Linked DNA regions of Saccharomyces cerevisiae S288C. Changing the gene in region 2 together with the main gene of any one other region gives a genetic interaction. Each region holds a gene or a part of one and is shown on either strand. Other genes may lie near its edges. The genes, in order: GAS3, ERD2, CHP1 and ALO1.

The links.
Region 1: mutations in ERD2 (region 2) and GAS3 together harm fitness less than expected from each alone (positive genetic interaction), as found in Saccharomyces cerevisiae (one large-scale study listed by BioGRID).
Region 3: mutations in ERD2 (region 2) and CHP1 together harm fitness more than expected from each alone (negative genetic interaction), as found in Saccharomyces cerevisiae (one large-scale study listed by BioGRID).
Region 4: mutations in ERD2 (region 2) and ALO1 together harm fitness less than expected from each alone (positive genetic interaction), as found in Saccharomyces cerevisiae (one large-scale study listed by BioGRID).

The regions. Positions count from the first base shown.
Region 1 is NC_001145.3:695,009-702,596, forward strand, and holds GAS3 (putative 1,3-beta-glucanosyltransferase), read left to right. Parts: upstream 1-1,787; coding exon 1,788-3,362; downstream 3,363-7,588. Other genes in the region: CEF1 (Cef1p), read left to right, coding at 1-145; SCJ1 (Scj1p), read left to right, coding at 342-1,475; serine/threonine protein kinase SKY1, read right to left, coding at 3,803-6,031; GUA1 (GMP synthase (glutamine-hydrolyzing)), read left to right, coding at 6,782-7,588. UniProt on the Saccharomyces cerevisiae protein: Splits internally a 1,3-beta-glucan molecule and transfers the newly generated reducing end (the donor) to the non-reducing end of another 1,3-beta-glucan molecule (the acceptor) forming a 1,3-beta linkage, resulting in the elongation of 1,3-beta-glucan chains in the cell wall.
Region 2 is NC_001134.8:139,610-147,347, forward strand, and holds ERD2 (Erd2p), read right to left. Parts: upstream 3,260-7,738; coding exon 3,238-3,259; intron 3,141-3,237; coding exon 2,503-3,140; downstream 1-2,502. Other genes in the region: FUI1 (uridine permease), read right to left, coding at 1-651; PRE7 (proteasome core particle subunit beta 6), read left to right, coding at 1,638-2,363; MIN6 (Min6p), read left to right, coding at 3,784-3,963; CTP synthase URA7, read right to left, coding at 4,380-6,119; mitochondrial 54S ribosomal protein uL16m MRPL16, read left to right, coding at 6,578-7,276; APL3 (Apl3p), read left to right, coding at 7,600-7,738. UniProt on the Saccharomyces cerevisiae protein: Required for the retention of luminal endoplasmic reticulum proteins. Determines the specificity of the luminal ER protein retention system. Also required for normal vesicular traffic through the Golgi.
Region 3 is NC_001148.4:121,589-129,132, forward strand, and holds CHP1 (ribosome-associated Tef1p biogenesis chaperone CHP1), read left to right. Parts: upstream 1-4,417; coding exon 4,418-4,858; downstream 4,859-7,544. Other genes in the region: NEW1 (New1p), read left to right, coding at 179-3,769; MMT2 (Mmt2p), read right to left, coding at 5,046-6,500; GRE1 (Gre1p), read right to left, coding at 7,044-7,544.
Region 4 is NC_001145.3:92,966-101,944, forward strand, and holds ALO1 (D-arabinono-1,4-lactone oxidase), read right to left. Parts: upstream 4,407-8,979; coding exon 2,826-4,406; downstream 1-2,825. Other genes in the region: SCF ubiquitin ligase complex subunit UFO1, read left to right, coding at 1-1,276; AIM33 (cytochrome-b5 reductase), read right to left, coding at 1,466-2,404; alpha-tubulin TUB1, read right to left, coding at 4,976-6,294, 6,411-6,435; YML083C (uncharacterized protein), read right to left, coding at 6,829-8,085; YML082W (putative cystathionine gamma-synthase), read left to right, coding at 8,897-8,979. UniProt on the Saccharomyces cerevisiae protein: Can oxidize L-gulono-1,4-lactone as well as D-arabinono-1,4-lactone and L-galactono-1,4-lactone.

The DNA.
Region 1 (7,588 bases), on a different chromosome or scaffold from region 2:
CCTCTGCCATCACAGCCTGCCCGCTTTGATTGAAGGGCAACGCAAGTACTACGCTGATTACTACGCCTACCGACAAGAGATACGATCGCTTGAGGGTCGTAGAAAGCGTCTTCAAGCCATGCTAAATTCTTCTTCTTCCATATAGCATTAGTATAGCATTAATATAACTTTTATGAACTAGGACATAGAGGACTTGTGACAACGCATTACCCGGAGTTAGAACGTTTTCTTGCCAAGTTGGCCACATCGGCAAACCAGCGATGGTAATAAGATGTAGTACTGACAAAACATGGTGGATAGGCCAGAAGAGCGTGCATTGGCTGGCGAAAAGATCGAGGACAATGATTCCAAAATTATATATACATTTGATACTATCTTTATTGTTGTTGCCGCTAATTTTGGCGCAGGATTATTATGCAATACTAGAGATAGACAAAGATGCCACTGAGAAGGAAATCAAATCAGCGTACAGACAATTGTCTAAGAAGTACCATCCGGATAAAAATGCTGGGAGCGAAGAAGCCCATCAAAAATTCATTGAAGTCGGCGAGGCATACGATGTATTGAGCGATCCTGAAAAGAAAAAGATTTATGACCAGTTTGGTGCAGATGCTGTAAAGAATGGCGGTGGCGGTGGCGGTCCAGGAGGCCCTGGCGCAGGTGGATTCCACGATCCGTTTGACATATTCGAACGGATGTTTCAAGGAGGTCATGGAGGTCCTGGCGGCGGATTTGGCCAGAGACAGAGGCAGCGTGGTCCAATGATCAAGGTCCAGGAAAAACTATCTTTAAAGCAGTTTTATTCCGGGTCCTCGATAGAATTTACTTTAAACCTAAACGATGAATGTGATGCATGCCATGGTAGTGGCTCTGCAGATGGTAAGCTGGCCCAATGTCCCGATTGTCAAGGTCGTGGGGTTATAATACAAGTGCTGCGCATGGGTATTATGACGCAGCAGATTCAACAGATGTGTGGTAGGTGTGGTGGTACGGGACAAATTATCAAAAATGAATGCAAAACATGTCACGGCAAAAAAGTTACCAAAAAGAACAAGTTCTTCCACGTTGACGTTCCACCAGGCGCACCAAGAAACTACATGGACACAAGAGTCGGCGAGGCTGAAAAAGGGCCTGACTTTGACGCCGGTGACTTGGTCATAGAATTCAAGGAAAAGGATACTGAGAACATGGGTTACAGAAGAAGAGGCGACAATCTGTACAGAACAGAAGTTCTTTCTGCTGCGGAAGCGCTATACGGCGGATGGCAAAGAACGATAGAATTCCTTGATGAGAACAAGCCCGTTAAGTTATCTAGACCCGCTCATGTAGTTGTCTCCAATGGCGAAGTTGAAGTCGTGAAGGGATTCGGCATGCCCAAGGGTAGCAAGGGTTACGGTGATTTGTACATAGACTACGTCGTTGTCATGCCAAAGACTTTCAAATCTGGGCAAAATATGCTCAAAGATGAGTTGTAGACAGATAATCCTACGTACGCACACATGCATATATAGATAGACAACTGGTCTTCTGCATCCGGTAATAGGCATTGGCTTTAATACTAATAAAAGCAAGAAAAAAGCGACACCAGTAAATTTCAGACATCTTCGAGAATTTTTTTCGCGCGCTTTCTATCAAAAAAAAATGAAAAATAAATAAATAAACAAAGGAAAATAAACAACAACATATACTGTTCTTATATAACATAGAACATCTATTGTTTCCGTGTTTTGCTCTTTCCTGCTTTTGTTCGATCAAAGATCACAGGTCTCAAAGTCGTTTAGCTAGCGATGCAACTATCTAAAAGTATACTACTGGCAGCATTAGCTGCTACACCATCTCTGGTGAATGCCATGCTCCCCATCCATATCAAGAATTATAGGTTCATTAAGCCATCCTCTGCCACAAATAGCGAATCCGATAACGAAGTTTTTTTTGTGAAAGGTGTCGATTATCAGCCTGGTGGGTCGTCTGGTTACGATGCTGACTCTGATACAGATATTCTTTCTGACCCTGAAGTGTGTGCCAGAGACGCCTACGCTTTCCAACAACTTGGTGTCAACACAGTGAGAATTTACTCCCTGAACCCTGACCTAAATCATGACAAGTGCATGACTATCTTCAACAATGCTGGTATCTACGCCATTTTGGATGTTAATAGTGGTAATTACGGGGAGAGTTTGAACCGTGCTGACCCATCTGGAACATATGACTCTTTGTATTTGTCAAGAGTCTTCAAATTTATTGACGCTTTCAAGAACTACCCTAACGTGCTAGGATTCTTTTCTGGCAACGAAGTCATAAATGATCAAAGCGACTATGCAAAAATTGATCCTCCATACATCCGCGCTGTTCAAAGAGATATGAAACAGTATATTTCAAAACATGCGAACAGAAGCATCCCAGTCGGATATTCTGCTGCTGACAATACTGATTTGAGGTTAGCAACCTTCAAGTACTTGCAGTGTAATTCGTTGGATGGAAACAAAGTCAATGATGATTTGGACATATCTAAATCTGATTTCTTTGGCCTAAATACTTATGAATGGTGCTCTGGCACTTCTAGTTGGGAATCTTCTGGCTATGACAAGTTAAACTCAACTTTCGAAGATGCTGTTATTCCGTTGATATTTTCTGAGTATGGTTGCAACAAAAATACACCAAGAACTTTTGACGAAGTCTCTGAGGGTTTGTATGGTGGTTTAAAGAACGTCTTCTCTGGTGGGTTGGTATACGAATACACTGAAGAAGCTAATAATTACGGTTTGGTTAAGCTTGATGATAGCGGTTCTTTAACTTATAAGGATGATTTTGTTAATTTAGAATCACAATTGAAGAACGTTTCATTGCCAACAACAAAAGAAAGCGAAATATCTTCTGACTCTATCTACAAGTGCGATAACAGTGCCATCACCAATATTTATTCTGGCTTTGGAACGAACAATTTCACTTTGCCTTCTCAACCAGCAGAAATTGCCAATATGATTGAATACGGTGTTAATGGCACCAACACCGGTAAGATATTGACTGATTATGCTGTTCCAACTACTTTTAACTATACAATTAAAAACAATAAAGATGATACCATTTCAGCTACTATTTCATACGACAAAGCTAACTCACTGAACGAACTAGACGTCACAGCCACAACGGTCGCAAAGTCAGCTTCCACATCACAATCATCTTCTCGCTCCTTAACTTCAAGCACCAGTCCATCTTCAAGCACTGGCTCATCTTCAAGCACCGGTTCATCTTCAGCTTCAAGCAGCTCCAAAAGTAAAGGCGTCGGAAATATTGTTAATGTTTCCTTTAGTCAGTCTGGATACCTTGCATTATTTGCAGGTCTGATTTCTGCTCTACTCTGAGCTGCTCATGTATTTTTTTGAAACATCCATGGACTTGTTTTCGTTTTCAACCGTTTTATTTTTTTGTGTTCTTTTATCTTAACATATGTAAAACAATTTATATGTTTTTAAATAGTAAACTTTTCATCAAAAACGCTTAGGTATCACACCCATCATCCTTCACCAGGACAACCATTGGGTGCAAAAAATAAAATCAAAAAATGTCGAGTATGGATTCAAAAACCGCTAAAGATAAAAGAAAGGAGAATCAGCATAATCTTTTGTTGTTACTTCAGAATATTATACTAGGTGTTACAAATTTACTTTGGTAAAAAAAAAAAAAAAAATTGCAAAAAAACTACTGAAAAATAAACAACTGAGCAGAGAACTAAAGTATGCAAAAAAGAGGTTAAACAGAAAAAAAAGTAAAAGGCAAGGGCAAAATAAAGGTATAAAGGTAATCAATGTCTTTTATGATCGCGGACTTCTTCAAACCATCCGGGGATATCGGAACCACTCCCGTACAACTCTCTATCAGGTACCCGAATCTCTTCCATACCCAAGGTATCCTTGAGCCATGGATGGTTAACCAAGCCACCTGCATCAGCTCTTTTCCTTGGGTCTAGCTGTAACATAGGCGACAAAAAATCAGATATTTCCTTGGCTTCGTCCTTAGAAAACTTATATTTTTCAGTTAAAACATCTTCTAAGGGCCAAAATTTCAATTTCGAGATATTTCTTAAAAGCCCTCTTGAATTGAAGAAAGTTCTTGTATATTTGCCGTTCCTCAAAAGGTATGATGGTAATTCTCCCAATAACTCGATGATTTGTGCAATATGGTCATCATCCTTAGTGTAGGAATGACCTTCGTCCGGTTCGAAAAGAAAATCTCCGGTAATCAATTCAAAAATTAGACAAGCAGTAGACCATATATCTGCACCACAACCCCAAGGGGCGCCTAGTAACACCTCTGGTGATCTGTATTCTCTTGTCTGTATAGAATTCGTGTAATGTTCGTCATACCAACAAGCATTACCTAAATCAGCAATCTTGATCTGAATCAAATTTTCTGGGGAGTTGATATCGGTACTGACGTTTGAATTTGAATCCATAGTATTAGAAATATATGGACCATTTGTATCGGAGCTTTGTGATATATTGGAAATATCAAATGTAGATAAAGAGTCTGCCAGCTGCTCTTCATGCAAAGGTGTGTTCATTATGTCCTCGTTATTATTGTTGTTACTGTTGTTATTGTTGTTATTTTTATTTTTACTATTATCATTATTGTTGTTATCATTACTGTCTTCATTTATGAACATCCTGGTCACAGAATGTGGTACTGAATTTAAGAAACTATTGTTGCTATTCTTAATGCCTATGCCATTATTAATACTGTTATTATTGATGGAAGATGGAATGTTCCTATTCCCAGATACGGAGGAAAAGCTATTGTGACTACTACCACAAAAGTGCGCCCTCATTTCAAAGAAATTTGATGAACTAATTGGGGAAGGTAATGGTTGCGACCCTGTGATAATTGTATGACGTCTAGGTCTTCTAAAGCATCTTTTTGACAAGTCCTTCTCTATAGAACGAGATTTGGAATTTGAGCTTGAGCCGCAGGGCATACTTGTTTGGCATTCTGCCCATTTCTCATCACTGCTATCGTTCGCGGTAATATCAGAAGACCGCGAAACGTGCCTCTGCAACCTTTTTGCCTCTCTCTTCTGTTTATCCAGTGCCTCGACCATTTGAACGATACCCTCAACATCTCCAATCTCCATCAACACGTTTTCTGGTTTAATATCTGTGTGTATAATACCACACCGCCTATGCATGTAATCAAGACCAAGCAGTAACTGCTTCGATATTTGCTTGACATAAATCAATGGAATGCCCCTATGTTCATACTTCTTTATCAAAGCCAGTAAGTTCTCGCCGAGGACTTCAAATACCATAACCACATGGACGCCATTGGGGCCCTTATGGTTGAAATGATCTAGCAATTTCAAAATATGATTAGCCCCCATGGAATCCTCCTTTGTATTATCGGCGTCATTCACTCTTTGCAAAAGCTTAATTTCGTCTTCAGCAGCTTCTGTGTAAACTTTGTCGCCCCGAACAATCTTCATAGCAACGTGAGTGTTGTTTACCATATCCTTTGCCAACCAAACGGTGGAGAAGTGGCCCCATCCCAGCTTTCTTACTAAAATGTAGCGTGCATCCTTATAGGGCTCGCCCTTAAAGGCAGGGTGGTACCCACCCGGCCTGTAATCTTTCAAAGACTCTTCGTTCCTTTCGTCACATGATGAGATAGAGGAATCTGAATCCAAATCTGAGTCTGATTGTGGCCCCGAATCCGATTGGATGGACACATGCGATTCAACGCCGCTATCTGGTTTTTTCTTAATGCTCTTTGTAGAAAAATCTTCTGTCTTCGAGGAAGTATCCTCTTGTACAGTACCGTTGGCACTAGAGGATGACTTGGAAGTCTGCAAGGCCAAAGACAGTTTAGACTTCGTTGGAGCAGGCGCCTTCTTCATCATGTTATAATCCCTTTGAAAGAAATTCTTCTTCGCTTCCTGCGAGCTTGTTGCTTCCTCACATGAAATGCTCGCATCCGTACTAGTGTCAGCCAAATGAGCGCTTTTAGTCACAAACCCAGGATAGTTAATTGATGAACCCATTAATGTCTACACTTCTTCTTTACTCTATCTCTTCAACCTCAAAAGGGGGTGTCTATTTATACCAAAAAACACAATTATTTCTCAGCGCCAGGTGATCTAACAATTTTGAATCAGTTTTCCAATCTCTATTAACTTGCCAGCTACAAATAGATCCCTCTATATCCTGTGACTTCTCTATAGCTCTTTCATAGCCCACACTCATTGTTTATTCTCTTTCAAATAAATAACGACGATAAGATTTAGAAAAATAGAAAAAGAAATTAGAAAAAAATCCGGAAATAATATAGGCTCGTCCGTAACGATTTAATATCACGTGGATAGTGATATAATTATGAGGTGTTGCCAAATAGAACCTTTAATTATGTTTAACAGCGAAAAAACAAGGTTGTCAAGTAGCCGACTCATTTCTTCGTGACGTTGGTGACAGGAATATGCTTTCATCCTCTCGCTCCCCTACAATGGCTTCGGTTCCCGACATTTTGACTCTTTTCATGCCGTCATTTCTTTTTCTTGCTTGCAGGAAATGAAAATTTTTTTTTTCTTTGGCGATGAGCATCGAGAAAAAATATTTCTTTTTTTTATCATTTTTTCAGTTTCATTTTCATTTCACAGTTATAAAACATTAGTTGAGTTATAGTTTCGGTCACGGTAGTCTCTAATTAGCTTGCGTTCGTTGTAGTTTAACTTCCCTGGGTCATTTGGTAGGTAATATCTATATTCTAAAATAAACTAACGACATCAATATTCACAATGGCTGCCGGTGAACAAGTTTCTAACATGTTTGACACTATCTTAGTGTTAGACTTTGGTTCTCAATACTCTCATTTGATTACCAGAAGATTAAGAGAGTTTAACATCTATGCTGAGATGTTGCCATGCACTCAGAAGATCTCTGAGTTGGGCTGGACTCCAAAGGGTGTCATTCTTTCTGGTGGTCCATATTCCGTATACGCTGAAGACGCTCCACACGTAGACCATGCTATCTTTGATTTGAACGTTCCAATCCTGGGTATCTGTTACGGTATGCAAGAATTGGCTTGGATTAATGGTAAACAAGTTGGTCGTGGTGACAAGAGAGAGTACGGTCCTGCCACTTTGAAGGTGATTGACGATTCCAACTCTCTATTCAAAGGTATGAACGACTCTACTGTCTGGATGTCTCACGGTGATAAATTGCACGGCTTGCCAACTGGTTACAAGACCATTGCCACCTCCGATAACTCCCCATACTGTGGTATTGTCCACGAAACTAAGCCAATCTATGGTATTCAATTCCACCCAGAAGTTACACATTCTACCCAAGGTAAGACTCTTTTGAAAAACTTCGCCGTTGATTTGTGTCACGCTAAGCAAAACTGGACTATGGAAAACTTTATCGACACTGAAATAAACAGAATCAGAAAACTGGTCGGTCCAACTGCTGAAGTCATTGGTGCTGTTTCCGGTGGTGTTGATTCTACTGTTGCATCCAAATTGATGACAGAAGCCATCGGTGATAGATTCCATGCCATCTTGGTCGATAACGGTGTTTTGAGATTAAATGAAGCTGCTAACGTT
Region 2 (7,738 bases):
GACACATGCCATGACGACACGGTTGATGACAATCCAGATGGAGAAGTAGATACCAAATGATACTCTTGAGGAAATGGGGAAAGAGATATGGTAATTGTTCCCCACTTTGGAACCCAGTATCAAGAAAAATGCGACAAACGTGTATCCAACCCAAATACAGATCCAAGTCTGCCACCAGTTAAGCCCTAACTGTAGCCCAGTGGCTGAGATTTGCCATGTATTGACGTTAAAGGACCCAGAAATCCAAAAGAAAATGTACTGCTTCCATGTCCACGTTCTTCTTTTTGCCTCCACGGGCCGCAGATCTGTGTTGTACAAGTACGTCGAACGGAGGGACTCCTGTAAATCTTTAAATGTCCTAATTGGATTTTCGGGCTTATGATCGGCCAAATCGGTAGAGTCATTCTTAACCTCAAAAAACTCGACAACTCTTTGCAGCCAAGACACCTTTTCGTCATCCTGAGCAATGGTTATATTGTTTTCTGAATCGGTATCTTTTTTTTCAATGACATTAGCATCAATCTTAGAAGTAATTTTAGTCGCATCACCCATCTCGGACTCTTTCGTGATTTCTTCGTAATCCTCCGTCGGTATAGTGTCGTCCTTCATTGTTTTTGAAGAATTATCGAATCCAGAATCAGATACCGGCATTTTCTCTTATATAGAATTAATGAATGAGAGGACTAGTTACCGCCTTTTATTTCCGCAATGTGCTGCAAAGTAAAGCAAAGCTGTCCAATACTATGTTTTAAATTTTACAAGAAGGTCGAAGCAATACTACTGTTATATAAAAGATAGGATAGCATGTCATCGAGTAATTGAGCAAGAGAGGAAATGAAAAACTTTTCCGTTGGAGAATTGATCAAAAATTTTCAAAAATACGACATGTCCCTGTGTTGTCCAGGCTGACACAATAGTTTCAGTAGCGAGAACCGCCAAGTTTTATTGCAGCATCCTTTAATGGCAAAGATGGCGCGATAAGGACGAAACCGGCAAATCCCGAGCATCAACCACAGTGAACGCCGCGGAGAAACTCAAAGGCGAAAGGGGAGAAAAAAAGAAATTAATGGCACATACCGCTTTGTGGCATGGCTCAATCACATTTCTTTTTCTTCTTTCTGATCGCCCGCAGGAGAGGCAGCGCCGTTTGTGTCCCATCGCAAGGACAAACTAGCTAGGACATGAGACTTCTAAGCCGTTCAGTCGAAAGAGTTAGGGCATTAGTCTCTAAAGATAAGTGTGGGGGCTTGGTTGAGTCTTGATTTAAAAGCTTGGAGTAGGCATTTTACGATCTATTTTCTCTCGAAATAAAGTAAAGGTATTGCTGCAAAGGAATTGCCGTAATATTTAAAACTTCTTGCTTAAGTGATGTAAAGGCAGTGAGGCGATAGCAATGTTTCGTAGAGCCTGTGACTAGTGAAGCATAGGCAATAAATTGTTTTTTTTTTCTGATTTTGTATTGCCGTCTCTGCGTCGCAGAGATTTGGTGTTCGTACGGAGCGATAATTGTTTTTATCTTTTCCAACTTAAAGGATCGAGGAAACTCAAAGGGTGGCAAAAACAAGCGGTATAATACAAGGTGAACTGAGTTGGAAAGAGAGTAGCCAAGACTATTGAACTATAAAGTTAAACAAAATATGGCCACTATTGCATCAGAATACTCTTCGGAGGCGTCAAATACACCCATTGAACATCAATTCAATCCTTACGGTGATAATGGTGGTACAATCCTGGGCATTGCAGGTGAAGATTTCGCAGTGTTAGCAGGCGATACAAGAAATATCACCGATTACTCAATTAATTCTCGTTATGAACCCAAGGTTTTTGATTGTGGTGATAACATAGTCATGTCGGCGAATGGATTTGCAGCAGACGGCGACGCTTTAGTAAAAAGATTCAAAAATAGTGTAAAATGGTACCATTTCGACCACAACGACAAAAAACTATCTATAAACTCTGCAGCAAGGAACATTCAACATCTTCTGTACGGGAAGAGGTTTTTCCCTTACTACGTTCATACGATCATTGCGGGTCTTGACGAAGATGGTAAGGGCGCTGTCTATTCGTTCGACCCAGTTGGCTCCTACGAAAGAGAACAGTGTAGAGCAGGTGGTGCTGCGGCATCATTGATCATGCCATTTTTGGACAATCAGGTTAATTTCAAAAATCAATATGAGCCAGGTACAAACGGTAAAGTCAAAAAGCCTTTGAAATACTTGTCCGTGGAAGAAGTCATCAAACTGGTGAGAGACTCGTTCACTTCTGCTACAGAAAGACATATACAAGTGGGTGATGGGCTGGAAATCCTTATTGTCACCAAGGATGGTGTAAGGAAAGAATTTTATGAGCTAAAAAGAGATTAATGCATACATATCATAGTATAAAAAGAAATAGACCAATATCAACATCAATTTTATGTATTTTTTTTTTCTTTTGGTATAGCATTGATATATTGAAATTTGTATATATTGCTGCGAACACTATTTAAAACAGGTTTTTTTTTTATTTTGGCAGTTTGAAACCCTTTCCTCTGATGACTTTAGTGTAGTAAATGTAAAAGAAATCAGAGTACAACAGAGTTTGCAAAAGTCCCGCGAAGAAGGCAATCTTGTCCAATTTTTTATCTTCCGTGCTGTACCTCCAAATCCAGTTAGGAATATACAATGCTCTGTATAATCCCATGGCAAAAATATAATGAACAGTTAGACTTCTAGTCTTCCCACCCTTAGATAGCATGTACAATTGAGGTAGAATAGCCACACTCTCCAACCATACAGAAAAACTCCATGCTAATTCAAGAAAAGTGAACTTGTGATGGAAAAAAACACTCATTAGAGCACTCCCAATTAGTAAATGCTGGATCTTAAAGGTATCATGCATAAGCATTTCATTATACGCAATGGTGTTGGTTCTTTTAGACCCTTGTAATAGCACTACAATGTAAGCGGTAGATACAATGAAAAATATTTTCATTAGAGCATTGTATAGGGATACCCAGTGAAAAGTCAAGAGATCCAAGTATCGTGTTATGAAAACCAAAGCGTACAACGTTTGGGTCTTGAAAGAAATACCTTCAATGTACCTTGTGGTCTTGATATTATGAATCAGGATCAGTATACTGGTTAGATGTGATAAATCACCTGTCTTGATGGTCGGGAAAAAGCCCTTTCTCTGTTAGTAAGATTGGGTTCGATCTACGGCGGGAAAAGCCTCATGAAACTCCAAATAGTAACATACCTAAGATTCTAAACGGATTCATTGCTTACTGATTATGCCTCAACTTGCGCGTATATCTCACTCTTGAACAAGTGCCCTCAGCAAATTCATCTGCCTCGAAATTTGAACTTATTTTTAACGTGTTCAATATTTAGCTAAAACGTCGTTTTCAGTCCGGGTACCGCAGATAAGCCATCCCGGATCTTTAAAGGAAAACGAGGAATTCAGTGGTGCAGACTACACTTTAATCTCAATTGACCAAAGTGAGTCCTCAAGTAAGACGAATATTATTTTTCTTTCACGACTCAATTGAATTCCTAATAACACTTTTGTTTGCTGTATTAGCTTTTAGCTTTGAGAGCGATGAAGCAAGAGAGAAAAATAAGGGTAGAAAAAAAAATTAGAAATTGAGGAGGGGAAGGTATTCTAACCTGGTGAATTCCCAGATACATAAGTATAAGAATTTCTCGGCAGAGATTATATACAATAAAGAATAAGGTTCAGTTGGACGATTGCGATAGTAGCGTGAATAACAATTTACTTTAATCAATCGTTAGGATACTTCTAATGGGCTTTTTTAACAATAATCCGGTAATTGAATTCTTCCACAGAATAACGAGAAAACCCAGTACCATTGCGATGTGGGTGTTTGCTGGTCTGATTTGTTCAAGTACATTTTATTTAATGTTCATGTCATCACCTACAATCGACTTCAACTCGAAGAGTAAGAAAAAAAATGATAAATAATCTCCCTGTTCAGTACTTTGGTAAAAGCACGCCATGGAAAATTATTTAGAACTTCCTTATACAAAACTAAATATTTGAGCATATTCTATATTCATACATAGATACATTCTTTGAATTTCAAGACTCTTATTTCTCATTTTGAAAGCCAAGATTGGAGGAAAAATCGTAAATTTTTATCCAGTCAGTAACAACTGTTGGCCAGTCGAAAACTCTATCGAAACAGCTTCTATATGTCAGATAAGATAGATTTATTAAATTAAATATATTCAGGAGAGGAAAGACAACATGAACGAAAAAAAAAAAACAGTGTAGAGAAGCACTACAAATATTTTCTCTTCCAAAAAATATAATATACATAAAAAAATTAGAAATTTATCTTTGTTAATGCAGTAGACTTTTAATTCTAAAATTTTGATTTAAAAGTTGAATTTGTTTTCGCCGGCCTCAAGATCGTACTTACCTTCAATGACATCTTGAAGGATACCAGCGGAAGCAGCAACTAAACCCAAAAATGGTTTGGATGGATCTAAGACCTTTGATGTGTATTCTGGGTGATATTGAGTAGCAATATAGTATGGGTGATTCTTTAATTCCAAAATCTCACAACGCTTTCCAGTGTCGTCCTTACCTACAAAGATCAACCCGTTGTTTTCCAATTCATCAACCATCTTTGGATTGATTTCGTAACGGTGACGGTGTCTTTCATGGACTTCGGAGACGTCACCGTATAACTTCTTGATTTGACTCCATTCAGTTTCATTTTGGAAAAATGTTGGTCTCAAACCTAATCTCATTGAGCCCCCCATGGTTTCCTTGTCAATTTCAGGCATGAAAACGACAACGTGATTTTTTTCATCAATGTCTGGATAAAATTCTGCCGAATGACTGTCTTTTCTTCCCAACACACTACGTGTAAATTCAATGGTGGCAATTTGTAAACCCAGGCAAACCCCTAAGAATGGAATGTGATTTTCACGAGCCCATCTAGCAGCCAAAACCATACCTTCAGTACCTCTAACACCAAAACCACCGGGGATTAAGATACCGTCTGCGGTACTGACCATGTTCCATGCTTCATGAAATTTAGTTTTGTTGCTTTCTTGTGCTTCAGGTTCCAAATCAGTAGCTTCCACCCATTTAATGTCTAACTTACGACGACACTTCATGGATGAATGTTCCAATGCTTTTATCACTGATAGATAAGAATCTTTCAAGTTGGTGTATTTCCCAACCAAAGCAATCTTCACTGTTTCCATGGATTCATCGAAGTTACCTGTTGTGGCCTTCCATTTAGACAATAATTCCAGGCCTCTTTGTTTTTCTTCTTCTGTAAGTGATATTTCATCTAACTTTAATCTGGCGTGTAAGTAATCAATCATCTTTTGTTCCAGTAGCAACAATGGGACGTGATAAGTAGAATTAACATCGTGAACGTTAACCACCTGTTCAGGCCCCACATGACAAAACATGGCAATCTTATCGATTGTTGGTTTATCCAAAGTTTCACTACATCTACAGGCGATCATATCTGGAACTAAACCAAGAGACCTCAAACCTTTGATGGCAGCTTGAGTTGGCTTAGTTTTTTGTTCACCGTGGATGACAGGAACTAGAGAAACGTGTATCAAGGCAAAATTTTCCTTTCCAACTTTAAATTGGAATTGTCTTAGTGCCTCCACAAAAGGAGCACTTTCAATGTCACCAACTGTCCCACCCAATTCAATGATACAAACATCTGGTTCCATACCGGTGTCATCTACAGGAATTTTGGCCACGCGCTCAATCCAATCTTGGATAGCGTTGGTCAAATGAGGGACAATTTGCACGGTTTTGCCTAAATAGTCACCTTTTCTTTCCTTAGCAATAACGTGCGAGTATATTTTACCAGTAGTAATGTTATGATCTTTAGTCAAAGTAACTCCAAGGTATCTCTCGTAGTTACCCAAGTCCAAATCTGTTTCACCACCGTCGTCAAGCACGAAACATTCACCATGTTCCAAAGGAGACATAGTACCTGCATCAATGTTCATATAAGGGTCAATTTTAATTGACGTAACCTTTAAACCGAGGGTTTTCATTAGCATACCAGTTGAAGATGCAAGAACACCTTTACCGATACCCGAAATGACACCACCTGAAACAACAACGTACTTCATTTTCTGTCTATAAGTTTCTTTTGTTCTATTGACCAATTCACTGAGAAACTGCCTGAAACTTTTTCGACCTTAGAATGGCAGAAAAATGGCAAATACTGTAAAATACTTAACATTTAACTAAATTTTATTCTATGCTTTTCCTCTCGATGAGATGAGCTGTGAAAAATTTTGAAAAAAAAAAAAAAAAAAAAAAAAAAAAAAATTTGTTATCACCAATAACGAGAAACCTAACTCTAAAACTTAGGGTCAAAGAACAGAACCCTAGGCTTTGTATCCAGTTGAATCACTAATTACGAAAGAATGCTGGTGGAAATAATAATATCATATTGGTGCTCAAATAACAAGAAGACTTCTTTGGAAGAAATTATTACCAATTAACAGTCCACTTGTAGAGCGTACATATTGCCGGGAAGTTGATTACCTTTCACCAGAGGTACAGAGGAATAGAATTTTGCAACATGTTCCCCTATTTAACAAGAATGAATTTATCCATAAAGATGGGAGGGCTAACTTTAAAAGAAAGTTCCCCCAATGCTTTTTTAAATAACACCACTATTGCTAGGAGATTCAAGCATGAATATGCCCCACGTTTCAAAATCGTACAGAAAAAGCAAAAAGGTAGAGTGCCAGTTCGTACAGGTGGTTCAATAAAGGGATCCACTTTGCAATTTGGTAAGTACGGATTACGACTGAAAAGCGAAGGTATTAGGATATCCGCGCAACAGCTGAAGGAAGCAGATAACGCAATTATGAGATATGTCAGGCCTTTAAACAATGGTCATTTGTGGAGGCGTTTGTGTACAAACGTTGCTGTATGTATCAAGGGTAACGAAACAAGAATGGGTAAAGGTAAAGGTGGGTTTGACCACTGGATGGTGAGGGTACCCACAGGGAAGATCCTTTTCGAAATAAATGGTGATGATTTGCATGAAAAAGTCGCACGGGAAGCCTTCAGAAAAGCAGGCACCAAGTTACCTGGGGTATATGAATTTGTATCCTTGGATTCTCTGGTTAGAGTTGGATTACATAGTTTCAAAAATCCTAAAGACGACCCAGTGAAGAATTTTTACGATGAAAATGCAAAGAAGCCATCAAAGAAGTATTTGAATATTTTAAAGTCTCAAGAACCACAGTACAAACTCTTCAGAGGACGTTGAACGGATTGAACACACCATGTATACATGTATATAACTATTGAAAAATATCGATATTCACAATCAAGTAATCTAGCCATGGCTATGAGTTTATTAATTCTAGTATGCACTGTATACTCTCTGCGGAAGAATAGGAGTTTTTCCCCGGAGTGAGCGCTGAAGAAACACATGACGACGTGAAAAAACACTTGTTTGATCCAGCTGAGGTATAAACACTGAGAAATATTTGAGGGTCAAAGAAGCACTAGGAACGTTACAGTTGGAATTTGCTAGTCAATCGAGTTTCCAATTTCGCAACCTTTATTATAGTACTAATCTTATAAGCCATGGATCGCAAAAAAACACTTATAAACTCAAGTGTTTCTAATAATAACAGTACCATCAAGGGCCTACAGTTATTCATTGCAGATCTTCGTTCTGCACAACAAGCACAAGAGCAGGAAAAGAGAATACAATCTGAAATTG
Region 3 (7,544 bases), on a different chromosome or scaffold from region 2:
ATGGAAAAAGAAAAGTTTCAAGGTGGAAAAAAAATTTTCAGCAGCATCGCAATAAATGTTAAAAAATAATAATATATTGCAACCTATTTAAGATAATACATATGCGTCGATCTATAGTGCATAATTTATATCTTGTAAACTGTAAATACAACGACAATCAGTGCTAATTCAACTCAGGATGCCTCCAAAGAAGTTTAAGGATCTAAACTCTTTCCTTGACGACCAACCAAAGGACCCAAATCTAGTCGCTTCTCCCTTCGGTGGTTATTTTAAAAACCCTGCTGCTGATGCCGGTAGTAATAACGCTTCCAAAAAAAGTAGCTACCAACAACAGCGTAATTGGAAACAGGGGGGCAACTACCAACAAGGTGGTTACCAATCGTATAACAGTAATTACAACAATTACAACAACTACAACAACTACAACAATTATAACAACTACAATAACTATAATAAATACAATGGCCAGGGCTATCAAAAATCTACTTACAAACAATCGGCTGTGACGCCCAACCAAAGTGGAACTCCAACTCCATCTGCTTCTACTACATCTTTGACCTCTTTGAATGAAAAGCTGTCGAACTTAGAGTTAACACCCATCTCTCAATTTTTGTCAAAGATACCTGAATGTCAAAGTATCACTGATTGCAAAAATCAAATCAAACTAATCATTGAAGAATTTGGCAAAGAAGGTAACAGTACGGGTGAGAAAATTGAAGAGTGGAAAATCGTCGATGTTCTATCTAAATTCATCAAACCTAAGAATCCATCATTAGTTAGAGAATCTGCCATGCTAATAATTTCCAACATTGCTCAATTTTTCAGTGGAAAGCCACCACAGGAAGCATACTTGCTACCATTCTTCAATGTCGCACTTGACTGTATTTCAGATAAAGAGAATACAGTCAAACGTGCCGCGCAACATGCCATTGATTCTTTGTTGAATTGCTTTCCAATGGAGGCTTTAACCTGTTTTGTACTGCCTACGATTTTGGATTACTTATCATCTGGTGCCAAATGGCAAGCTAAAATGGCCGCTCTAAGCGTTGTAGATAGAATAAGAGAAGATTCGGCGAACGATTTATTGGAACTTACTTTCAAAGATGCAGTTCCAGTTTTAACCGATGTAGCAACTGATTTCAAACCTGAATTGGCCAAACAAGGTTACAAAACTTTATTGGACTACGTTTCTATTTTGGATAACTTAGATTTGTCTCCTCGTTATAAATTGATCGTGGACACCCTGCAAGATCCATCTAAGGTTCCTGAATCTGTAAAATCGTTATCCAGTGTTACATTTGTCGCTGAAGTTACGGAACCTTCACTATCTTTGTTAGTTCCTATTCTAAACAGATCTTTAAACCTATCGTCATCATCTCAAGAGCAATTAAGACAAACCGTTATTGTCGTGGAGAATTTGACAAGATTGGTGAATAATCGTAATGAAATTGAAAGCTTCATCCCTCTACTACTACCCGGTATCCAAAAGGTTGTTGATACTGCGTCCTTACCTGAAGTTCGTGAATTGGCTGAAAAGGCCCTTAACGTTCTAAAAGAAGATGACGAAGCTGATAAGGAAAACAAATTCTCAGGCAGACTGACTTTAGAAGAAGGTAGGGATTTCTTACTTGATCACCTCAAGGACATTAAAGCTGATGATTCCTGTTTTGTCAAGCCTTACATGAATGACGAAACTGTTATCAAGTATATGAGCAAGATTTTGACCGTGGATTCTAATGTGAACGACTGGAAAAGACTTGAAGATTTTTTGACCGCCGTTTTTGGTGGTTCAGATTCACAAAGAGAATTTGTCAAACAAGACTTTATCCATAACTTGAGAGCTTTATTCTACCAAGAAAAGGAAAGGGCAGATGAGGACGAAGGTATTGAGATTGTCAACACTGATTTCTCCTTAGCTTATGGTTCAAGAATGCTTTTGAACAAAACAAATCTTCGTCTCCTAAAGGGTCATCGTTACGGTTTGTGTGGTAGAAATGGTGCTGGTAAGTCTACTTTAATGAGAGCAATTGCTAATGGTCAATTGGATGGTTTTCCTGACAAGGATACATTACGCACCTGTTTCGTCGAACATAAATTGCAAGGTGAAGAAGGTGATTTAGACTTGGTTTCCTTCATTGCTTTAGATGAAGAACTGCAATCTACTTCTCGTGAGGAAATTGCAGCCGCTTTAGAATCTGTCGGTTTTGATGAAGAGAGAAGAGCACAAACTGTTGGATCTTTATCTGGTGGTTGGAAAATGAAGTTGGAATTGGCAAGAGCTATGTTACAAAAAGCTGATATTTTATTGCTGGATGAACCTACCAATCATTTAGATGTTTCGAACGTTAAATGGTTAGAAGAATACTTACTGGAACATACTGATATTACTTCATTGATTGTTTCGCATGACTCTGGTTTCTTAGATACAGTCTGTACTGACATCATCCATTATGAAAACAAGAAATTGGCTTACTACAAAGGTAACTTGGCAGCATTTGTTGAGCAGAAACCTGAAGCTAAATCTTACTATACCTTAACAGATTCTAATGCTCAAATGCGTTTCCCACCCCCAGGTATTTTAACAGGTGTTAAGTCTAACACTAGAGCCGTCGCTAAAATGACTGATGTAACTTTCTCTTATCCAGGTGCCCAAAAGCCTTCCTTAAGCCATGTCTCCTGTTCATTGTCTCTGTCTTCTCGTGTGGCTTGTTTAGGTCCTAACGGTGCTGGTAAATCCACTTTGATCAAGCTATTAACTGGTGAATTGGTTCCAAATGAAGGTAAAGTGGAAAAACATCCAAATTTACGTATTGGTTATATTGCTCAGCATGCATTGCAACACGTCAATGAACATAAGGAAAAGACGGCAAACCAATATTTGCAATGGCGTTATCAATTCGGTGACGACCGTGAAGTCTTATTGAAGGAATCCAGAAAAATATCCGAAGATGAAAAGGAAATGATGACAAAGGAAATCGACATTGATGACGGTAGAGGTAAGAGAGCCATTGAAGCTATTGTAGGTAGACAAAAGTTGAAAAAATCTTTCCAATATGAGGTCAAATGGAAATACTGGAAACCAAAATACAACTCCTGGGTTCCAAAAGATGTTTTGGTCGAGCATGGCTTTGAAAAATTGGTTCAAAAATTCGACGATCACGAAGCCTCCAGAGAAGGGTTGGGTTACCGTGAATTAATTCCTTCAGTTATCACCAAACATTTTGAAGACGTTGGTCTTGATTCTGAAATTGCTAACCATACTCCATTAGGTTCTTTATCTGGTGGTCAATTAGTTAAAGTCGTTATTGCCGGTGCTATGTGGAACAACCCTCATTTACTTGTTTTGGATGAACCTACCAACTATTTGGACAGAGACTCTCTTGGTGCTTTGGCCGTTGCTATTCGTGACTGGAGTGGTGGTGTCGTTATGATTTCGCATAATAACGAATTTGTTGGTGCTTTATGTCCTGAACAATGGATTGTGGAGAACGGTAAAATGGTTCAAAAGGGCTCTGCACAAGTTGACCAATCCAAATTCGAAGATGGTGGTAATGCTGATGCCGTTGGTCTAAAGGCCTCCAACTTGGCCAAGCCATCTGTAGATGACGATGATTCTCCAGCTAACATCAAGGTCAAGCAAAGAAAGAAGAGATTGACAAGAAATGAAAAGAAGCTGCAAGCCGAACGTCGTCGTCTACGTTACATTGAGTGGTTGTCATCGCCAAAAGGTACACCAAAACCAGTTGATACTGACGATGAAGAAGATTGAAAGCCTACTGGCTAGTGTTTTATCTTCGCTAACTTCGTTTGTTTCACTCCATCTTTTTTCTTTAATTCACTCCTCAAATGGAGTTTACTACGTTGATAGAATTTAGGACAAGCATATGACGCTCTCCTTCCTTTTTTGTTTTCTAGGTTAATTCATTTTTCATACAGAGTAGTTAATATTGGTTCTTTTCATATATGTACGGTACGCAGATTAATTATGTAAACTTAAACTTAAGGGATCCTTTTTGATGCTAACAATTGTCGATGTTGAACTACAAATTTATGTAAGAGGTCGTTGTTAAGGATTATTATTTTAAAAATACACGAAGATTGATTATTATTTCTTACATGAGGTTATGAATCGTGCTCCAAAAGTATACCAAAAATAACTCCTGAACTGCTAGGCACAGTTTGCGATAATTTAAAGGGGTTAAATACACTTTTACTACTGGCTTTCACCTTATAAATCCCTCATTAAACTAAAGATGAATGAACATTGTTGAAGAAATTGTCCGGGTAAGAGGTTGTACTAGGGAGTGATGAACATCCATAAATTCTTCGACTAGCAGAAGTAATGATAATTTTCACCCGTTAAAGCTACATCTGGTTAGATGGACTAGAAGAACCACGACGAAACAATCATATAACAATGTCTACTTTTAATGCAGAAACCGCTGATAACTTGGAAGATATCGAGAAACAATTCGCTGTTGTTGCTGTTGAACAAGCGGAAACATATTGGAAACTATTAACAAGTGTTCCCGGTTCCAAGTTACGTTTGACTAAGTTTGATGACGAAATATACGAGAATTTTATGGAGAGATTCCCAGAATACAAAGATGTTGAAAGGGTCAAAAAGTTTACGGAGGAAGAATTAAAAACAAAAGAAGCCAAGGAAAGATGGAGAAAGTTCTTCACAATTTTTGAGAAAAAAATCGAAGACTATAACTTTGGTACTTTGTTGAGGACAGACGCTTCAGCCGAGTATGGTCAATTTACTACTTGTTTTGTCGTGAGACTACAATTTTACGCTTTTGAAATTGCTAGAAATAAACACGGCTTGAACGATTGGATTGTCGGTCAGAAATGAACATGCATATATATTTGTGATTGATTATATAGAATACATTACTTTATACAAAGGAACAACACAAGGCATTCTTCCTTGTTCAACATATATATATATACATATATATATTAAGCTCAGTAAATTGTTGAAATGTGAAAGGCTGTACTTTTGCTCTTAACTTTTGAAAAAATTCATCATTGAGAATTCCCTAATGTTTATGGGTGTGAGTATCGGCAGAATCAGAATGAGTATGAGTATGATTTGTTGATTTAGTGTCATGAGAGTGCTCCAAATCACCTTTAGAGTCAGAGGTTACATCAACAAACTCGACGTCCACCTTCCCCACGTTTGGCACCTTCATACGTAAATCCTCTCTTATAGTCGAAATAGCGTTTTCCAAAAATCTTATCCCAACTTCCTGACCTGAATGTAATACTGGCACTTCCAAAGTTGTGGTGGCACGAAGATTAGGACCGGAAGCTAATATAGTAAGGTCTCTAACATGTAACGACTGTTTGAGATCTAAGTCTGTTTTCAAACTGCCAATGCTGTCTTTTATGACAGATTCGATTTCTAGATAACGCGGATCAGTAGGTGGTATAGATTGGTCAACTAACTCCTTCAGTGAGGATAAGATACCTTGTCCACCTGTTTTTATGATCAAACCTGACACTACAAGCCCACCTAAATTATCTAAGGATTGAATGTTGAAAAAATAACTAGATGTGATAGCGACCAACGCTACCAACGATGTCAAGGAGTCAACACGATGATGCCAGGCGTTTGCCATTAGTACATTAGAATTTGTTTGGATTGCAACTTTCTTTGTTGCCTGAAAAACCCATTCTTTAACCAAGATAGAACCCGCTGCTATCCATACAGCATTTACATTAGTTGCCTGTTGTGTTAGCGACTGAGAATGGGAATGCGTTTCACCAATTAAACCGGCCATCGATTCTAGAATGGCATGAGGAATGACAGGCCCCACAATAGCGCATAACGACGACCAACCGATAGATATACCAGCCATTGCTAAGATTGTGGATACTGCCAAAGATCCCACAGTTTCCACTTTACCATAGCCATATGGGTACTCCGAAGTTGGTTTACGAGACGCATATTGGACAGAAAACAGTGTTAAAAAATCAGATACCAAATCGCTAAGAGCATGTACGGAATCAGCAAGTAATGCTTGAGAATGAAAAGTGATTCCTCCTACAAATTTTCCTACTGCCATCCCCACATTTGATGCAAGTCCTATCCATGTTATTCTTACGCCAGGATTCTTCTTGATCTGCTGTACGTTCAGTGACAATAAAGGATTGTCATGCATATGTGTGTGGCTGTGACTATGAGTATGTTGCAACAACGACTTCACAGAGGAAGCCTTGCCTTCCTTCTTTCCTTCACTTTCATTCTGTCTGGAATTCGATCCATTCTGTGAAGACATTTTTGAAATGAGCTGTTCATTATAGCCCTCTTCTTGACCTTCTTTATTTAGCAGTTTCGAAGAATGCAGGCACCTTCTCGGGTTGGCTGAGATCATTGTACTGTACAGGCTTGATGTTCTTATGGCCCTCCCGGCAGCATGGTAACTAGTGTTGTTATAACCTGGCACAAAGGAACCGAATTGCTTGATAGAGTCAATACTTATCCGTAGCATATCTTTATTGCGTTTGCTTTTTTGAGAAAGTAATTGCTTACACGTTCTAGAATAAAAAAGTATGGTTGTAAGAACGCACTTGAAAAGGCACCAATCTGCTCGGGTTTTTACAACTAACACTAACCTAGATGAGAGGTAAAAAGAAATCGTAAAAAAAAGTTGTTGCCCAGCACAATAACGACACTTTACCCGCTAATTCCAGGAGGTTTGAGTTAGACAACGACCTTCCCACCCCGTTTTCCCATAATTCTATTGTTATACACCTGGATCTGGAGGTCCGTGAAACGGCATACCTCGACGAAAAAGGTCACTACTAATCAAATCAAACTGACATTAATAAAAACGTATAAACTGACAGCTGTAGATCTAAATAAACTAGATTAAACATATGAAATAGTTTGTAAAAAGTGGCATCATGACCAATAATAGGTCCAGATGAAGAAAAAAGAAAAAAGAAGACGAAATTAGGGTAAAATTTCTCACTTGCTGCTCAAGGGTGAGACCCGCACCTCAGGCATGTAATAGAAGCTTCGACCACCGCATCTACCAGACGCCTTGGTTCCCACTATCATCATCATATTCATCGTTTCCTGACCCAGACAGATCGCGTCTACCGCTGCCGATATTAGAGGATTGGTAGCGGTTACTTTGAGCACCTCTTGTACGACCTTGTTTTTGCTGTTGGCCCGAAGTCAAGAAGTCATCGTCTTCATCGTCGTCCAACTGACCTTGAGTGTTAGTTTCGCGGTAAGTTTGGGTATAAGTGCCACCACCAGTGCCGGCAGTGTAGTCAGTAGTTTGTTGCTGGAAGTCGTTACCGCCAAACTGCGTGTTACCGCCTAGATTAGACTGTGGCTGCTGGCGTTGAGGGAAATTCCCTTGGTTTTCTTCGCCGTAGGGATCGGCCTTGGATCCTTGATTCCTGAATTCCCTCTGTTGATGTTTTTCATGACGCTGTTGTCTAGTCTGGTCGTCATTGTCGTCTTCGTAACGTTCATCATGATCGTTGCCGTGCAACTTATCAGCAAACTTGTTTAATAGATT
Region 4 (8,979 bases), on a different chromosome or scaffold from region 2:
ACTGGCTTTTTTTAAAGATTGGACCTTAATTATGGATGATGAAAAGCTGTACATTATCCATCAAATGCAGGAATTGCACAGTATTGATATTCCTAAGGATCTGGACGAACAGCCTATGAGGGTACGGTTTTTCAAGATGGATTTCGGTTCCATGACTTTGGTACTTGCTGACCTGAATAACGTTTATACAATATCGGTCAATCCCAATGGTAACTTCGGCAATTTGAGAAAGTTGGAGATGCCTGAACAAATATGCGCAGTTGAAATAGATGAAAAAACTTCTCAAAGGGAACAAAACTGGCAATTTGCTGGTGATGACGGCTGCTATATCAGTCTTTTGACGACACAGAACACTTTATACATTATCAATATAAGAGATCTTTCTTCGTCAGGCTTAAAAGTTCAATGTAAGATAAGTTTTGATGAGCAGGTATACGTATCGCAGGTGACAAATTTAATAGTTGTGGTAGCATTGCCAAATGTTCTTCAAATATTGAACGCGATGACAGGCGAGTTAATAAAGACAGTGTTGAAAACCGAGAAGTTTCCCGAATTTTTGAAGGTATCGCAGGATAAAATCATTATGGGAAGCGGTAACGTTTTGAATTATTTAAAGTTTGTTTCAAGTGATTCAAAGAAACATCACCATTCCACTAAAGGTAAAAACACAGTAAGCAATAAGTGGAATGAAACTTTGAACACGGAGCTGCAATATTATGATGAAGATGAAGACCTTAGAAGAAAAAGACAGTCAGAAATATCAAGATTGATCGATGCGTATGGTGGAGACCTTGAACTTTCAGGCGACACCGATGAAGAAAACGACATTCAGTTGAGAATTGCACTCTTAGAATCACAGGAGGCGCAAGCACGGAATCAAGCTGAAGCGGGGGAGCCTGTCGGAGATGATGAAGATGAGCAGTTAAGAAGGGCGCTGGAGGAATCTCAACTGATATATGAGACGCAAACGAATAGCTCTGCGAATCATGGTAATAATACGAATGATGAGATAGATGAAGATGATGAAGAGTTTCTCAGAGCCATCAGACAATCAAGAGTGGAGGACGAAAGGAGAAGACATCTTAGAAATCATACTACAGGTCGACGAAATGGGCCCTTGAGCGACGATAATTTTGCTACATATGGTGCAGCAGAGTCATCCGAACGAACCTCAACTGAGAACACTATCGGTAGTTCTGTTGGCGTTGATGCTAGTAATAATGTTGATGAAGACTTACAATTGGCCATTGCGTTGTCATTGAGTGAAATCAATTGAAAGTATGTACATTTGGAAGAGCATATGTTAAATATTTTATTTATAGATTTTTCGTTGTGAAATATTATTTTTTTTTTTTTGAAAAAAATGTCGGACTTTATTCCTCCTAATTATTAATAAAATACGAATATATATCTAAATATAATTAATGCTTATTTACATGAAAAATCATCAATCGTAAACAGTTGATTAAAAAACAAAAACTTTATCGGTTCCATTACCTTTGTGAAACCCATTACTCCACCCCAACTCCTTTGCATAATTCAAAACCATTTCATTCATTTTAGGTGGTCCGCAAATCAATAAACGATGGTCCTCCGCTTGTTTAGGTAGGTATCTTTTCATTTCCTCTAGAGTTACGTACCCAACATCACCGTTCCATTTACCGTTTGGCTTATGAATTACATAATGAACTTTAAAATGCGGGTACTCCTTAGCCATGTGGTCTAGTTGCGATTTCATGAGAATGTCATCCTCTGTTTCGTTTGCGTATATCAAAGAAATGTGTGTTAGGTCTTCTGGAGAGGGTATGATTTCTTGCAGCACTTGCAATACAGGGGTTATACCAGACCCCCCTGCGATTATACCCAACTCTGTTGCGGTGTCCTGATCATATTCCAGCTCACCTAACGGCCCTTTAAATTCAACATACTGGCGAATTTTTAATTTATCAAAATACTTAGAAACGACACCATGTTTATACGTCTTGACTACTAATTCCAAGTGACCCTCCGTATTAGGAACATTTACTGGCGTATAGTACCTCACTAATCGCTCACCATTTATTGTAACCCTTACTGCCAGGTGGTATCCCATGGGAATATGCAATCTTTCAAATGGGTACTTTAACTTGAAGCAGTACAGACTAGTATTACGAGAAATGCGGGTCTTCTTGGATAGCGGTAGCGCGACCCATTTATTTCTGTAAAGAGATTTATCAGTTCCAATCGAAATAAACGCTGTGGCATAAAGTACTACGAATTGCAGCAATGAAACGACCACGATTCTACCATTTTGCGTTTTCCAAAAGTAAAGAGGTGTAACCACACAATTCAGAAGCAATCCAGTACAAAATGGATAAAACGGATTTGTCGAAACAAAAGATATGCATGTCTCTACTATCGACATTGTTGCGAATGGTTGCTTTTTACAAAGAAAAAATGTGATATGAGTTAATACTAAACATACTTAAATCCTAGAGAGAAAAAAAGTACTGCAATATATACAGCACTCAAAATACATTTCTATCTGATTTCTAAAAACTTCCCTGTAGATGGATCTACGTTACGCCATGCCGATGTTTCGTTTTTGCTTATACGACCAATCATTACCGCGTTCGGCTTTTCCAAAAAAAAAAAACTATAGTAAGGATAATGAAAAGAAAAAAGGGTCCCATGATTACTAAAAAGCTCTAATTCAAAAAAAAAGTCTTTGATAGGCAGCTAGGAATAGTTATTAGAATGTACATGAACAGTCATCACACTGCTATATATATATATATATATATTCTTTTTTAGTAAAATATAGAGATTATTGAGACAAAAAGAGACTAGTCGGACAACTCACTAGGATCTATAATACCATTTATGATAGCCCACTGTTTGTTTGCCAAGAATACATTATCGGGATCTTGCTCCTTTCTTATTTTCCGGAACTTTTTCAAATCCTCGCCATACCATTCTTCAACCTTCAATGCCATCCCCCTCATTTCAAAGTCATCGTAATCAGTATCCTTTTTCACTGGTCCAGCAGCTAGAGTGGTTGAGCCTAGGAAGTTCTTGGCCCAATGTGGCTTACCTCCCGCTACCATCATAGTATTTTCAAAAAGGGTAAACCATTTATGAATTGGAGTATTACAGCCAAACGGCCTATAAATGGTAGCATTTATGTACAACGTCAACTGACTGTTGGTAACATTTTCCAACGGAGCAAATCTGCAATGGGATGGTGTGTTATCCAGGAATGGGCGGCACACATTGCCATAAACGGGACCGGGACTGGTGTTTGTTCTCTTGCTAGTATCCAAGGGTTCAGAAGGTAATGTAGTATTTGAGCAACGGACTTCCATAGGCACGTGGACATAAAATTCTTTGTTTATGGCAGCCTGCGCAATAGAATGATCCAATGAACGTAAGACTTCCAAACCATTATCCATAGGGCACCCCCATTCATCAACAAATTGTGAAAACAAACAGTCCATATTAAATCCGCTGATAGAATCGGTAACATTAACATCACCAGTAGAGCTCTTCTCCAATTTCCCGTATTGCCTGTTGAAAACGAACTTTTCCACAAATGGGGTTAATGGCGCATAGATTTTGGTAGAGATCCATAATAGAGTTTCGTAGAAAAATCTACCCAGCTTGGTACCCCACCATGACTTGGCTGGACCATTTTGGGCATCTGTAGTTTTGTTACCCCTCCATAGAACACATTTTCTAGTATAAGGGTACCACCAAACTCTGATAAATTCAGATGAAGTCCATAGGGTATCCCATTGCTTCAAAAGGTTTTCAAAAGTAATCACTTCTTGAGTGGATTTAATATTGAAGCCGGGAACAACCCTGATAGTAGCAGAGACAATGATACCAATTTTTCCAACTGAAAGTAAAGCAGCTTTAAAGACTTCTGGATCGTTTTCAGCATCCAAGAACTTCAATTCGCCCTTACCATTAACAATAGTCAAGTTTACGTATTGAGAAGAAATCAAACCGTGATAAGGTGAGGAACCATGACTACCAGTAGAGATTATGCCAGCAACACTTTGTTCTGAGATAGAGCCTAAATTTTGGATAGAGTAACCTTTCGCACCCAAAAATTCATTCAATTGGTAAAGCCTCATACCGGCATCAACTGTGACATCGGCATAATGTAACTCAGGATATTCAACAAACTTTTGTACTTTGTCCAATCTGTCTAAGTTAACAAGCCATTCATCAGTAACGCACATGTTACTAGGAGAATGGCCCGAACCAACAGTAACTAAGCTTTTTTCAGCTAGCCTGGCACTCTTTACTAACTCGACAACCTCATCAATTGAACTTGGTTGGAAGTAACGTTCTGGTTTTGCAGAATAAATTCCGGCCCAGTTTTTGAACACATAGTTCTTTCTAAATGGGATAGTAGACATGGGGTGAAAAACCTGATAATATCGGTAACTTTAATTTTACGGGTTCTTGTTTTACCTTCTAATGAATTTTAAGTTTTGAAAAGCAGAAAATCAGATATTGAAACTATAGATCTGCTTACCTTGAAGTTCACTATTTTTGGAATTCTCCTTGCTAATAGTTACTTCTACTCTTGCTTTGTCCTGGATATCAATGGAAGATGTCCTCATTTCCATTTTTTTTTTCAATTCGACGGCAAGGCGGGAGAAAAGGAACTAGGGATACAAAAATGCAATTACTAATGAAATCCGTGAAATAATCATGGAAATGGGTGATGTAAGAATCTGATGAAACAAGTACAAATGTCTTTGGCCCATCAACTACGATGAGACTTACTAAGCTTTCATCAAATGCAGGTTAGAGAAGGAGAATGGTTTTTTTTTTTATTTTTTGTACATAGATATTAGAGAAATATAATAAGTAGATTATAGATAAGATATCACCAAAGAGATATAACAGTAGGGGGAATTTTTTTTTTTACAATATACTTGAAATATAGAAAGGATAAGGAGGTTGGGGGCGAGAGTGAACCTTAAAATTCCTCTTCCTCAGCGTATGAGTCGGCACCCACTTCGATGTAATCTCTTTCTAAAGCAGCCAAATCTTCTCTAGCTTCGGTGAATTCACCTTCTTCCATACCTTCACCGACATACCAGTGGACGAAAGCACGTTTGGCATACATTAAATCGAATTTTCTATCGATTCTCTTCCAAGCCTCAGCAATGGATGTGGTATTTGACAACATACAGACGGCCCTATCCACAGTGGCCAATTGTGAGTTTGGTGTGGCAGTTGGAGGTTCGTAGCAAATACCGATCTTGAAACCAGTTGGACACCAATCAACCAATTGGACGGTCTTCTTGTTTTTCACCTGCTCGACAGCTCTTTGAACATCTCTTGTTACCACATCACCCCTGTATAACAGACAAGTAGCCATGTATTTACCATCTCTTGGATCACACTTGACCATCTGGTTACCAGGTTCAAAACAAGCGTTTGTAATTTCTGACACAGAGTTGGACTCATGGAATGCCTTTGATTTGGATAAGACTGGAGAATATGAAACTAAGGGGAAATGAATTCTTGGATATGGAACCAAATTGGTTTGAAATTCGTTCAAATCTACATTTAATGAACCGTCGAATCTCAATGATGCTGTAACAGATGATACCACTTGAGCAATTAGGTTGTTTAAGTTTGCAAAGCTTGGTCTTGGGATATCCAAGTTTCTTTTGCACATGTCGTAAATAGCCTCATTATCGACCATGAAAGTACAATCTGCATGTTCCAATGTAGTATGTGTAGTTAAAACTGTGTTGTAAGGCTCAACCACAGAAGTAGACACTTGTGGAGCAGGGTATACGGCAAATTCCAGCTTGGATTTCTTACCGTATTCAGCGGATAGTTCTTCCAACAGTAAGGACCCTAGACCGGAACCAGTACCACCACCAAGAGAATGGGTAAACAAGAACCCTTGTAACCCATCACATTGGTCTGCCAGTTTTCTAATCCTATCCAGAACATCGCCCAAAATTTCTCTACCAACGGTGTAATGGCCTCTTGCATAATTATTAGCCGCGTCCTCCTTACCACTGATCAACTGTTCTGGATGGAACAAGTCCTTGTAAGGACCGTTACGGACTTCGTCAATAACGTTGGGCTCTAAATCCACGTAAATAGCCCTTGGAACGAACTTACCGTAGCCGGTTTCATGGAAAAACGTGGAGAAACCCTCTTCTCCTCCCTTCGGCTTTGAAAGGCCATCTTCTAGATGTCCATCCGGCTTAATACCGTGCTCAAGGGAATATAATTCCCAACAGGCATTACCAATCTGACAACCAGCTTGACCGACTGTAAAGAGAAATCAAAAAAAAAAAAATTTTGCGTTGAAGTTAGTAATGAAAGATGAAACGCCAAAATGAACTAACAAAAAAAAGATCTAGCCTGGACGGGCAAATCGAACATACCATTAATACTAATAACTTCTCTCATTGTTTGTTTGCAGTTGTAAGTTTACAGATCTTGGGTGGCGAGAACTGTTGTAGACGGATATACTGAATTGGGTAAAACGATATAGTAGATGTTTTTGTTTTGTTTTGTTTTGTTTTGTAGTTTAGTTTTTCCCTTGGCTCGAGGCGTTTTCGCGTGGCATAACCCGGCCGGAAACTACGGTGATATTATCGTCTGGCACATATATATATATATATATGTAAACTATACTTATATTAATAGTTTCCGATCGTCTTATTACTCACTTACTATCAATGGAAGCACTATTTCATTACTTAAAAAATACTTTCTATTGCAGGATCTGAAACAGTCAGTTATAATGGAAAAAGTATGCAATTGTGTTTTCTTAAAGAAGGATACAGATATTTATATATGTTAGTTCCTCTGGAATATATCGCTAGATGCATTAAACATGAAGAAATTTGCCGTATGAATTATTCCTGTATGTACACCAAATGTGTCATGATCTTCTTGTTTCTTCAATGTGGCGCTGGCATTCGAGAGTGATGATGCTTGGTGTGAGCACTTGAAATGTCTCCTCTTTAAGAAAGACAATCCTATCCTTTCATGATCAAGGGCTTCTAAGGCGTCTCTCAATGCCAATTTCAAATCGGTAGGGTCTGACACGGTCTGGTAGCATTTATTAATGCAGTGGGTAAGGAAGAGGGAGGGCTTGATAATGTGGTTGGCTGAAATCGGATGGCAGTGCCCGCCATTGATAGACTCAAATTTTACTGTCTTCGTACAGTGGTTGAAGGTCAGTATGAGTTTTGACTCGCAGATCAAATGTATTTTGTACTTTTCAGGAGTCCTTGTTCTTTGTATACGCTTATTGCTGAGTTGCTCGTGAACATTCATCTCACAAACGAGTTCGTACTTGTTCTTATTGATTTTCTTTGTCCTGTAGATGAAACTAATGAATGAATATACTCTAACGAACTGCTCAAACGACAGGGTACATAGGAACTCGAAGGAGGATTTTGGATGCTTGAAAATAAAGTCCCTGAAGTTTAGAATGTTGTTGATATTTTCGATCTCGTCCTTGTTTACTGGATGGTGATATTCCTGTGCGCATGCAATTAGTTGTTTACCAGACCTAACTTTGCTCAATTGTGCCTTTGTTTTTGCACAACCAATGTAGTTTGGAATCTTCCTAATTAATTCCTCGGTACTATCTCGCTCAACATCACGGCCGCCGCCATTCCCGATCACAATTTTGGGCAGGATAGGATGTGAAACTCTGTCCTCTACTGTGCTGGGCACAGGCGACGGTGGTAGTTTCAAATCTGGCAGCTTTATGGCGACCGGGGCCAAAGGGGGTGAGGGAGCCGTTGCTTCAAACTGAGGTCTTGGGGAGGTCATAGGTGTGATAATAGGCATCATTGCGGCATGATTTCGTACAGCGACAGGGATAGTGACAACCTGTTGTGACCAATGGACGGGCGTATTTGTGCTCATAGAAGGCAATATGGGTGTTGGCAAGCACCTGGGGCTGGAGTACCCAAATGTCAGCGAATGTTGTTGATCTAACGCCAATATGATTGGGGGCAGAACGGGCGATAGGCACTGCCTGCCTGGAGGTGTTCTGGGAACGTGCGCCTGGTTGTTGTTATATACATGTAAATAGTCCATTGAGTCTTTACCAGGTTCTATCTTAACTAAAGAACTACTTCTACACAAGACTTAAGGCACCTTCATACGAAAACCCTCTCCACGATGGCGTTCAATCTTTCGTCTTTATATACATATGTTACTTTATATATTTATATATTTACGTATACACCCGAATGTATTTATATATTTGTATGCATATGCCCACACGTATATGCTCAAGAGTAAATTCTCCGACCCGTTTAAAAGCAAGCACACGTCAAGGTTTGCTGTCTCCACTCGATTCGTACCGTTCCTGCGGTACTCCTAGGCAAGCAGTTAGGCCCTGCCATTCACCCACTCAACAGTTTTAACAGTATACGACTGCAAGGCCATCGTTTACCGGCAGGGTCTATTGTTCTGCGCGTTCCTTATTAGGCACCGCCAAAAAAACCCTTGAAATTTTCGTTTAGGTGCCGGCTCGTTAAGGGCCCTTTTGCTCTCGCATAACGCAGGCACAGGTCACGAACTGCGGTGCGGATACCCTCGATTTAAAGACAGGCAGCAGGTGAAGATAATACCATGCTCAACATGGACGCCAAGGATAGACGTGTAAGTTTAAGTTTCTCTCGTTGTATCGACTGACCTCTTTAATAGCAGTCCTTACCAAGTTGAAAAACCACATCTTCGTGTTACCCGACTACCTGTGCGATGCCGTCTGGAAAATTCGCAATGAAAATTTGATGAAAAAATTGCCTCTCAATAGTGAAAGAAGTATAGCAGGGCCACGCAGAGAGTAAGGGCTATAGGCGAAGTTTTCCTGACATTTTCTTCTTCTATAGGACATTATAATATGGTTTCAGCGCAAGTGGCTACCGAGCTAGGACAGCCTATACCACTGGACACTCAACATGCGGTATCTGTATGTTTCCCGAC